2 linked regions of the Ovis aries genome follow. The protein of the gene in region 1 binds, or shares a complex with, the protein of each later gene. Links are inferred from orthologs where the notes say so. Each region holds a gene or a part of one and is shown in the gene's direction. Other genes may lie near its edges.

Evidence for each region.
Region 2: the proteins of BRME1 (region 1) and HSF2BP are in contact, whole or in part, in a crystal structure (PDB 7Z8Z), measured with the Mus musculus proteins. The link is inferred for Ovis aries from reciprocal best matches to the Homo sapiens genes BRME1 and HSF2BP. Residues at the interface, in NP_083321.2 of Mus musculus: Met541, Gln542, Asp543, Ala544, Thr545, Val548, Arg549, Leu551, Val552, Leu555, Ser556, Asn559, Ile562, Met563, Thr565, His566, Leu569, Lys573; in NP_083178.1 of Mus musculus: Glu23, Phe24, Val25, Lys26, Val27, Arg28, Asp31, Leu32, Arg34, Leu35, Glu38, Val39, Gln41, Ile42, Phe45, Leu46, Arg48, Ile49, Glu53, Leu54.

Annotation. Positions count from the first base shown.
Region 1 is NC_056058.1:10,109,275-10,113,077, forward strand, and holds part of BRME1 (break repair meiotic recombinase recruitment factor 1), read left to right. Parts: intron 1-3,334; coding exon 3,335-3,515; intron 3,516-3,803. UniProt on the Homo sapiens protein: Meiotic recombination factor component of recombination bridges involved in meiotic double-strand break repair.
Region 2 is NC_056054.1:264,402,753-264,407,126, reverse strand, and holds the start of HSF2BP (heat shock factor 2-binding protein), read left to right. Parts: upstream 1-1,562; 5' UTR 1,563-1,594; coding exon 1,595-1,630; intron 1,631-2,375; coding exon 2,376-2,526; intron 2,527-4,374. Other genes in the region: RRP1B (ribosomal RNA processing protein 1 homolog B), read right to left, coding at 226-355. UniProt on the Homo sapiens protein: Meiotic recombination factor component of recombination bridges involved in meiotic double-strand break repair.

The DNA of each region.
Region 1 (3,803 bases):
GGGCTTCCCTGGTGGCTCAGTGGTAAAGAATCCGCCTGTCAGTGCAAGAGACGGGGGTTCGAGCCCTGGTCTGGGAAGATCCCACATGCCGTGGAGCAAGTAAGCCCCTGCACCAGAACTATTGAACCTGCACTCTAGAGCCTTGGAGCCAAAACTACTGAAGCCTGTGTGCCCTAGAGCTTGTGCTTCGCAAAAAGGGAAGCCACTGCAGTGAGAAGCTTTCATATCACAGCTAGAGAAGAGCTTGAACTGGGACAAAGACCCAGCACAGCCAAAAATAAATAAATAGAATTATTAACAAAAAAAAAGATGTTTGTGCAGAGATGAGTAACAAGCTGCTTGGAGGCACAGGAATTTCTGTGACCTTGGAGGCGGAAGCTGGGGCCAGCCAGGCCCACCCACAGCAGGTCATTCGGGGCCTGTCTTGGCAGTGGACTCCTCAGCTCAGTGGACCCTGGGCTGGCCCAGGAAAGTTCTTTCTGTGTGTCCTGGATGGGTGGGGAAAAAGAAAAACAATTCTGGCAGGTGGTGAAAGAACCCTTTCCCTCCTGATGTCTTTGGCCTTTAGTGTTGAACACAAGGTTCTGCTTTCGTTTTTCTTAAATTAATCCTGTGGGGATGGATCACAGGAAGAAAATGGGAGCCTCTTCACGCCTGTTGGTATTTTTGCTTTTTATTTGGTACTAATAAGTGTCCATTGGATGAGCAAAGCAAGCTAGTGTTTGGGTTTCTCAAGAAACTAAACAAATGAAGCCGCTATATTTTTGCATTTCCTGGTAGACCACAAAGTAGAAATGTGTTTGTATAAGAAACATTCATTGGAGCTTTGCTCTGGGTGCAGTGCCAGGGTGGGTCCATAAAGTGGGCAGGGGGCGGGAAGCACGGTGAAGATGAGATCAAGATGAGATTTAGGTCTTGCAGTTGATTCCTTCAAAGTCAAATCAGGGGGAAAGGAAAAATGCTTCTCACCAAGGGAGCTAATCAAATGCACAGCAATGGGGTAAGGTTCTAAATGGGCCCATGTGAGCTGTAACTGACAGAATTAGGAGAAATTACAGGAAAGTCAGTGTGGTCTAGTGGAACCCCAAAAGCCAAATGGACGCTGAGGAGGACTCTAGCATTCAGTGTTGGAGGAAGGGAGCTCATTCAATGGATTTGTTGTTGTTTTAGTTGTGTCTGACTCTTTGCAACCTCATGGACTGTAGCCCTCCAGGCTCTTCTGTCCATGAGATTTCCCAGGCAAGAAATACTTGAGTGGGTTGCCATTTCCTTCTCTAGGGGGTCTTCCTGACCCAGGGATCAAACCAGTGTCTCCTGCATTGGCAGGCGGATGCTTTACCACTGAGCTACCTGGGAAACTCTCAGTGGGTTTACTTCAAGAGGGGGCAACAGAGGACAAGAGGGTTGGATGGCATGACTGACTCAATGGACATGGGTTTGCGCAAGCTCCTGGAGATGGTGAAGGACAAGGAAACCTGGCATGCTCCAGTCCATGGGGTCACAAAGAGTCGGACACAACTGAACAACAATATAAGGAGCTGAGTGTGGAAAGGTCTTTCTGACAACCTCCAGAAAAATCAGACCTGGGTTTGGTTTATCTGTTTGTTCTCACTCCCTGGTCGGAGATGCAGTATATGTAGGTGTTCAGTAAGTGTTCAGGTACACTTAAGTGTGAAAGCTCTGGAGCTGGACTGCCTGAATCCCATTTCAGAGTCTGATCTCTCCAGGCCTCAGCTTGCTCATCCGTAACATGGCACAACATGAAGACTCTACCTCGAAGTTTTATCATAACATACCTGAGTCCTCAAGACAGTGTCTGGCATGGAACTGAACAAGAGTCAACCCTTATTATTTGTTCATTGAATGAATGGTTCATTTGGGGCCAGAGCATTCTGACAAGTCAGCCACTATTGGCAATTTCTATATAAGGGAGTTCCCTTCATTAAACAAATAGAAGGTAATAAGCACCTTTAGGGTCTGAATTGCTTTCAGTGATGGGAAAGGTATTTTTAGGAATGTAGCAGGGACCAAGAGGCAACTGAGCTGAGAAGTCACCTCCTTACTGCTCGATGACTCTGGGTCCCAGTTTTCCCAGGTTGAATATTCTACAAGTGTCATGGAAAACCAGAGTGGTACGTAAAATTTAATGTCGTCTGCATTTTCTGGGAAGTGATCTGGATTTCCTCATGCACTTATTCAGTCATCTTCCAAGTATTTATTGAGCGGTTCTCGACCCAGAAATGAAACCAAGGTCTCCTGTATTGCAGGCGGGTTCTTTACCAACTGATCTGTCAGGGAAGCCCCATTTATTGAGCACCAATGGTTTATTAGATGCTCATCTAGCCACTCGAGACCCAGCAGAGAGTGAAATAACTGAGGCCCCTCCTTGCATGGACACATTGTAGTGGAGGAGACGGTAAACGACCCTGTTCGTCGGACGCTTGCAGAAAAGATGTAAAGTGAATACAACAGAGCATGGGTCCGAGAGGAGTTGCTGTATAGAAAGGGCAAGAATGGCTCCTCTAGGGGCTCCTCTGGTGGTCCAGTAGCTAAGACTCTGTTTCCACAGGAGGCACAGGTTTGATCCCTGGTTGGGGAACTAAGATCCCACAAGCTCTCTCACCAAAAAAAAAAAAAAAAAAAAAAAAAAAGGGCCCCTCTGTAGGGACAATTTGAGCTGAGATCCAAGGGAACCAGCACACACCTCTCACCACTTCCCCAGAGAAACAGTCAGCTGGACAGGTTGTCTCGTGATTCTGAGCCAGGCCAGGTCACCTCAGGATCCAGCATCCATCATGACCAGACCACAAGTTAAAAGCCTTTGAATCCCATGGCCCCATAAGTTCGTGGGTCCCACCTGGATGACAGTCCATCCCGTCTCTCACTCTCCAAGCAAGCGTCAGAGCAGGAATTTCCTGCCCTTTGCACAAGCCTCCTCAGGTCGCATCAGCGACCCAGATGTGTTTGGCTGTGGGTCACGGCAGTGTGTGCTCCCACTGTCCCCCACCCCTTCAATTCTCTTTTTTCTTTTCATTTATTTTCGGCTGTGCTGGGGCTTCGATGCTGCGTGAGGGCTTTGTCCAGTTGCAGCGAGCAGCATCTGTTCTTCATTGCGGTGCACAGGCTTGTCATTGTGGTGGCTTCTCTTGTTGGGTTCCACTAGACCACACTGACTTTCCTGTAATTTATCCTAATTCTGTCAGTAGTGGCCACGAGACATGTAGGATCTCCCCAAAGCAGGAATTGAACCCCTGTCCCCTTCATTAGCAGGCGGATTCTTAACCACTGGACCACCATGAAGGGAAGCCTCCTTAATCTTTTGTCTCCAAACCAGGAAGGGAAGGACTCCATCTTCGGAAACTTCCAAAGAACCCAAGGATAGAAGACTCTGACGGGGCCACCAGCCAGAGCTCCCTGTTAGACTGTTTGCATCACCCTGAAGAATCAGAAGGTGGATCGGGACTCACTCCTTCTGCAGAGCAGAGTGGGGAGGAACCAGGACAGGCAGCCTCCAGGTAGGTGGCTCAGAACATCCAGCAAGCCTCTCCTCTGACAGTGGGCACAGCACAGTGACCTAGTGGACAGGATGCAAAGGACAGGGGACCAGCCAACATGACCCTGCCAGTGCTGTGCCTCCCCAACAGGGGTCAAGGCCCTTGGATTGAGGTTCGTGAAATTTTGCTCTAGAGACTTGTCTCTAGTGAGAAAAGTCAATATATATAATTTTAATTAAACTGTATTTATTTCTTGTTTACTTACTTATTTTTGGCTGAATTGAGTCTTTGTTGCTGCGTATGGGCTTT
Region 2 (4,374 bases), on another chromosome or scaffold:
CCCCTCAACCTTAGAACAGGACGAGACCCAGCAGAAAGCGGACACAAAAGCACACGCGGGAGTGCGACTCAGTGCCACACGCTCTCCCCGCTCCGCCCGCGGCTCCCCCGGCCCGTCCCCTGTGACGCACCTCCCGACCGGGCCCCCTTCCCACAACCCCCAGCCCGGCCCACCCCGGGCTCCCACGCCCGGCCGCCATGTGCGCGGCGGACCGCCGGCGCCCACCTGTCTCCTTCTGCGTCTTCACGCTGATGTACTGGCGCAGCTTCTTCACCGCCCGGTCCCGGATGCCCTTCTCGTGGGACGCCAGCCGCTGAGCGAACTGTATCTCGGCCGGCTGCATGGCGGGGGCCATCGTGTCCGTTGGAGCATCCCCCGCCACAGCCCGCCGCCACAGAGCGCCCGCCGCCTCGCCGCCCGGGTCGCGACTGCGCAGAAGGCTGTGGCGCGTGCAGCGGCGCTCAGGCTGATGGCGTCACAAAGGCGCCGGCCGCCTCTCGCAGCGCGTTCTGGGAGCTAGCGCGGCTGCCAAGGCAGCCGGCTGAGCGGCTCGTCCCTGGTTAGCGGCGCGCCTCTCCGCCTCTGCCGTCTCTCGGTAGCCAAAGCTCGTGGCCGTTGACGGCGAGGTTAGCCGGCGTTGCGTGTTGGCCGGGAAGAGTCCGATAGCCAGTTTTACGTGGTCTAGAATCTTTGCGCCCACTCCACTAAATCCTGGTCCGATTGGAGCTGTTCCCCGGGAGACGCGGCACCGAGTCTTGAATCGCTTTGGACTCCTCGGCCGCCAGGGCTGGGTGGAGGCTGGGGAGAGAGGCTGCCCTTGGGAATTTTGGTGGGATGTTGTGGGCAGCCCCCTCGAGGGCCGCTCTGGTCTCAGCGACCGGCGACCCCCAGTGCCCGGGTCCCGGCCGCGAGGATTGAGAGCGTGAGCTTGAGGTCCTCCCGCGGGCCTGGAGGGCACGCACGCTGGGCACTTGGCCTTGTCAGCTCGCGGCCGGCTTCAGACAGGCAAAGTCCTAGTGGTATAGTAACTGGTACCTTTGAACGCATGGGCACTGTGCGAACTCAGTGGATGTGTAGGGGCAGCTGAATGGACGGGGCGATGTGTCCTAGCTTACGGTAGCCGTTTCAGTTACGTACCAGCGGACTGGACTAAGTCTCCCTATCGAGGGCAGACCTCCCGAGCAGTCTGTTGTCAGAAAGCTTTGGCCTTTGCTCATGGAGCTGGGAGCTGAGTGCGGGAGCCAGGCGGCCGGCTGCTGGTTCCTTTGAACCTGTCACCCCTTGGTCTGACATCCCTTGCCGAGCAGGAAGGGCCTTATTCGATTTATTTCACCGGACACTTAAGCGAGGGTCTCACTGTCCTTGTACTTTGCAGTTAACAAAGTTTACGAGTCTGGTTAAGCCAGAAGAGCCAACGCGGGATCCCGCCGACCCATTCTGGGTCTTTCAGCCGAGAATGCTTCGAAAACTGCGTGGCCTGAGCCTCGCGGCTCTCCGTACCTGACTCTCGGTGTGGACGCGTTCCCGCGCTTTCTGGCGTGAGGGTCAGAGGGCGCGCCGCCGCACAGGCGCAGGAGCGAAGGCCGCGGCAGTCATGAACGAGGCTGGCGGCGCTGAGGAGGCCTGTCGGGTTAGTGTGGGCATCCAGGTCTCGGCCTGTGAGCTCTAGCTGTCGCCCTCCACTCCCCCACACCGCTCCTGGGTGCCGTCCAGTGTGTTCGGGAGGGCCCTGGGCGTCGTCCGCAGACAGCATGCCTTGGGTAGGGGAAGGGAGGCTGCAACCCCTGCCTTGGAAAATTCTCCCAAATTCTCGGGTGTGCGGGTCCAGGGGGCCGCGCAGGGGGCGGTGGGCGTGCTCCTGTGACCCCCCGGGACAGGCCGGGCCTGGCCGCCCGCGAGGCCCTGCCTGCGTTGGACTTGTCAGCCTCAGGGGTGCCCAGCTGTCGAGTTCAGATCCAGGTTGTGTCCCCAGACCTGGGATTCCCGAGAGTCACCTGGCTTCCCTGTTTCCCCGTTTCCCAGGGTTGTGGTCGGTAAGAAGCAGGGCGGCCCGCAAAGGGCCTGGCGCACCCAGTACGCATTCACTCCGATGCCTTTCTCGCCTGATAGCTTGCTGCCGGAGCATTAAGAAAAAGTTGCCCGCGATTTCTTTGGCGTTATAGGGCCTTGTTTGCACTTTAAAAAAACTAGTTTACAGTGTGAAGGCTGGGGCTTGAGCTATCTGGATGTAATATACATAGAAAACAGTACATTAGGTAAAGACGGGCTTTGAAACTATTTTGAGCACACGAGGCCTTAAAGAAAAGGAAGCAAGCTGAGTTGGGCTGCTGGTCTCTGAGGAGACCTGTGATCTTGAGATCTGCTTGTTTTTCTAGCACATGGGAACTAAAGAAGAATTTGTTAAAGTCAGAAAGAAGGACCTGGAACGACTGACAACTGAAGTGATGCAAATACGGGACTTCTTACCCAGAATACTAAATGGGGAAGTATTGGAAACCTTCCAGAAATTAAAGATTGTAGAAAAAAGTGAGTCATACTTCATCTTCAGCCGTCACTGATGGTGACAGCAGTGTGTTTCAGCAGGTTTTCCTTATGTAAATAACTGGGAAGTGATTGTAAATAAACTTTAAGATACTGTTACAGTCTTTGTAATTACCTTTGGAAAAGTCAGATAAGACATAAGAAGGGGAGGGGCCCACAAATGAGTAACTTGGCTTTGTGTAGGTTCCTGTTGGAGGAAGGGTTGCCAACTTTCTGAGTATCTGTTCCCAGCTCTTTACCTTTTATCTTTGGCAGAAGGATTTTATACTTTTATTATTTAAAAGCTCTGTTCTAAAAATTAAGTCCTTTCTTGTATAAATACATATAGTCTTATACAAGATCCTCTTATGCAAAGGATCCTTTTTTGTAAAAGGATCTTGCCATTTAGTAACCTTACATGGATTCAGGTGTGTCTGTAGAGACATGCTCTCTCTCCTGTTTATTATCCTGCCTGTTTATTCTCCCTTAGGAGTCCTCAGATGCACCCTCCCTGGCCTGTGGTGTGCTCTGTGAGGTGGGCTCCTAGATTACGTGCCTCCTCCTTGCTGGTTGCCAGTGAGGACTCATTGAGAGAAGGAAGCCATGGGCAGGAGGAGTTGGGGGTGTTTCCTCGTGCTCCCTCCACAGCTGTGACCCATGCCCAGGGGCCTCCTCCACATTTCCAGCTCTTACCAGGCTGTAGGAACACTGTCCCCTCTCCTCCTTTCAGCTGGAGGGCTGCTGCCAGTCCCAGGTGCCTTACCATCCTTGTTGGGTCTCTGGCCCCTGCTCACCCTTTTGTAAGTAGTCCTTTCCATAAAGTCCACAGCAGGGCTTCTTTGTTTCCCCCTGGGACATTGCCAGGTATGCCCCCATCACTGGTTACCATAGCTCCAGGTCACTGTCGACCTCACCTGCGTTCAGCAGCCTCAGAAGAGCAGTCAGTCATCTTGTGTGCCTGTGTCTTTAGGGAAGGAGAGTGCTGATGAGCAGCTGAGGATGTTAGCCTGCTGGGTAGGTATATTTCTCACTGCAGATTAACACACTGGCATTCTGGAAAACACATCAGGAACTTCTCATGAGCTGGTTAGCATTTGGAGATTAATCCTCTGTCAAAATCAAACTAGTGGTTACAAAAGTGAGGTCCGTAACTGCATTTGTGGTGACGTGATCACAGGCAGACTTTAGGAGGTCTTGCCTCACAGCCCTTGGCCTCCCCAGCCGTGTCATCACCCCCTTTCCCATCGGTCTTCTCAGTCTGCTCTGCGGGTTCGTCGTCCTCTGCAGCAGCTGTCCAGCTAGGGGAGGCGCTCAGGCTCTCCTGCCCTCACCGCATGGCCTCTCCAAGGGCAGTCTGCACACTGGTAGCTTCAGTTGCCGTCTTGATGCCAGTGGCTCCTAGGCTTTCCTCTAGCCTCACCTCTTCTCCAGGGTCCGGGTCCTGTTTCTGACTCCTACTTGGCATTTCTTCTTACTTGTTTCACATTCACTTCAGATTCTAAGTGTTTGTCTTAGTATGATCGGCCTGTAGCCCTCAGGAAGGACCTGTGTTCTGACGAGGTCAGGTTACTGGCTGGTTGCAGTGAGGGGGACCACTCACTGTAGCAGAGGAACCGTGGGCATCCTGCCACCAGAGGAAGAGACAAGTGTTGCTCTAGGATTTGGGATGGGGCGGAGTGTAGATAGCATGTGGGTGAGGCTGTGTTCTCATGGGCTCCACGTGGAGTAGGGCTGTGTGTGAAGGGGTCAGCACTGGGTCTCACCACAGTGGCCCCAGGTCCTGTTTCCTTGGAAACTGCAAAATGTAGATAGAAGAACATGAGGTCTAGGAACCTTTATTTGAAGCCCTGCAGC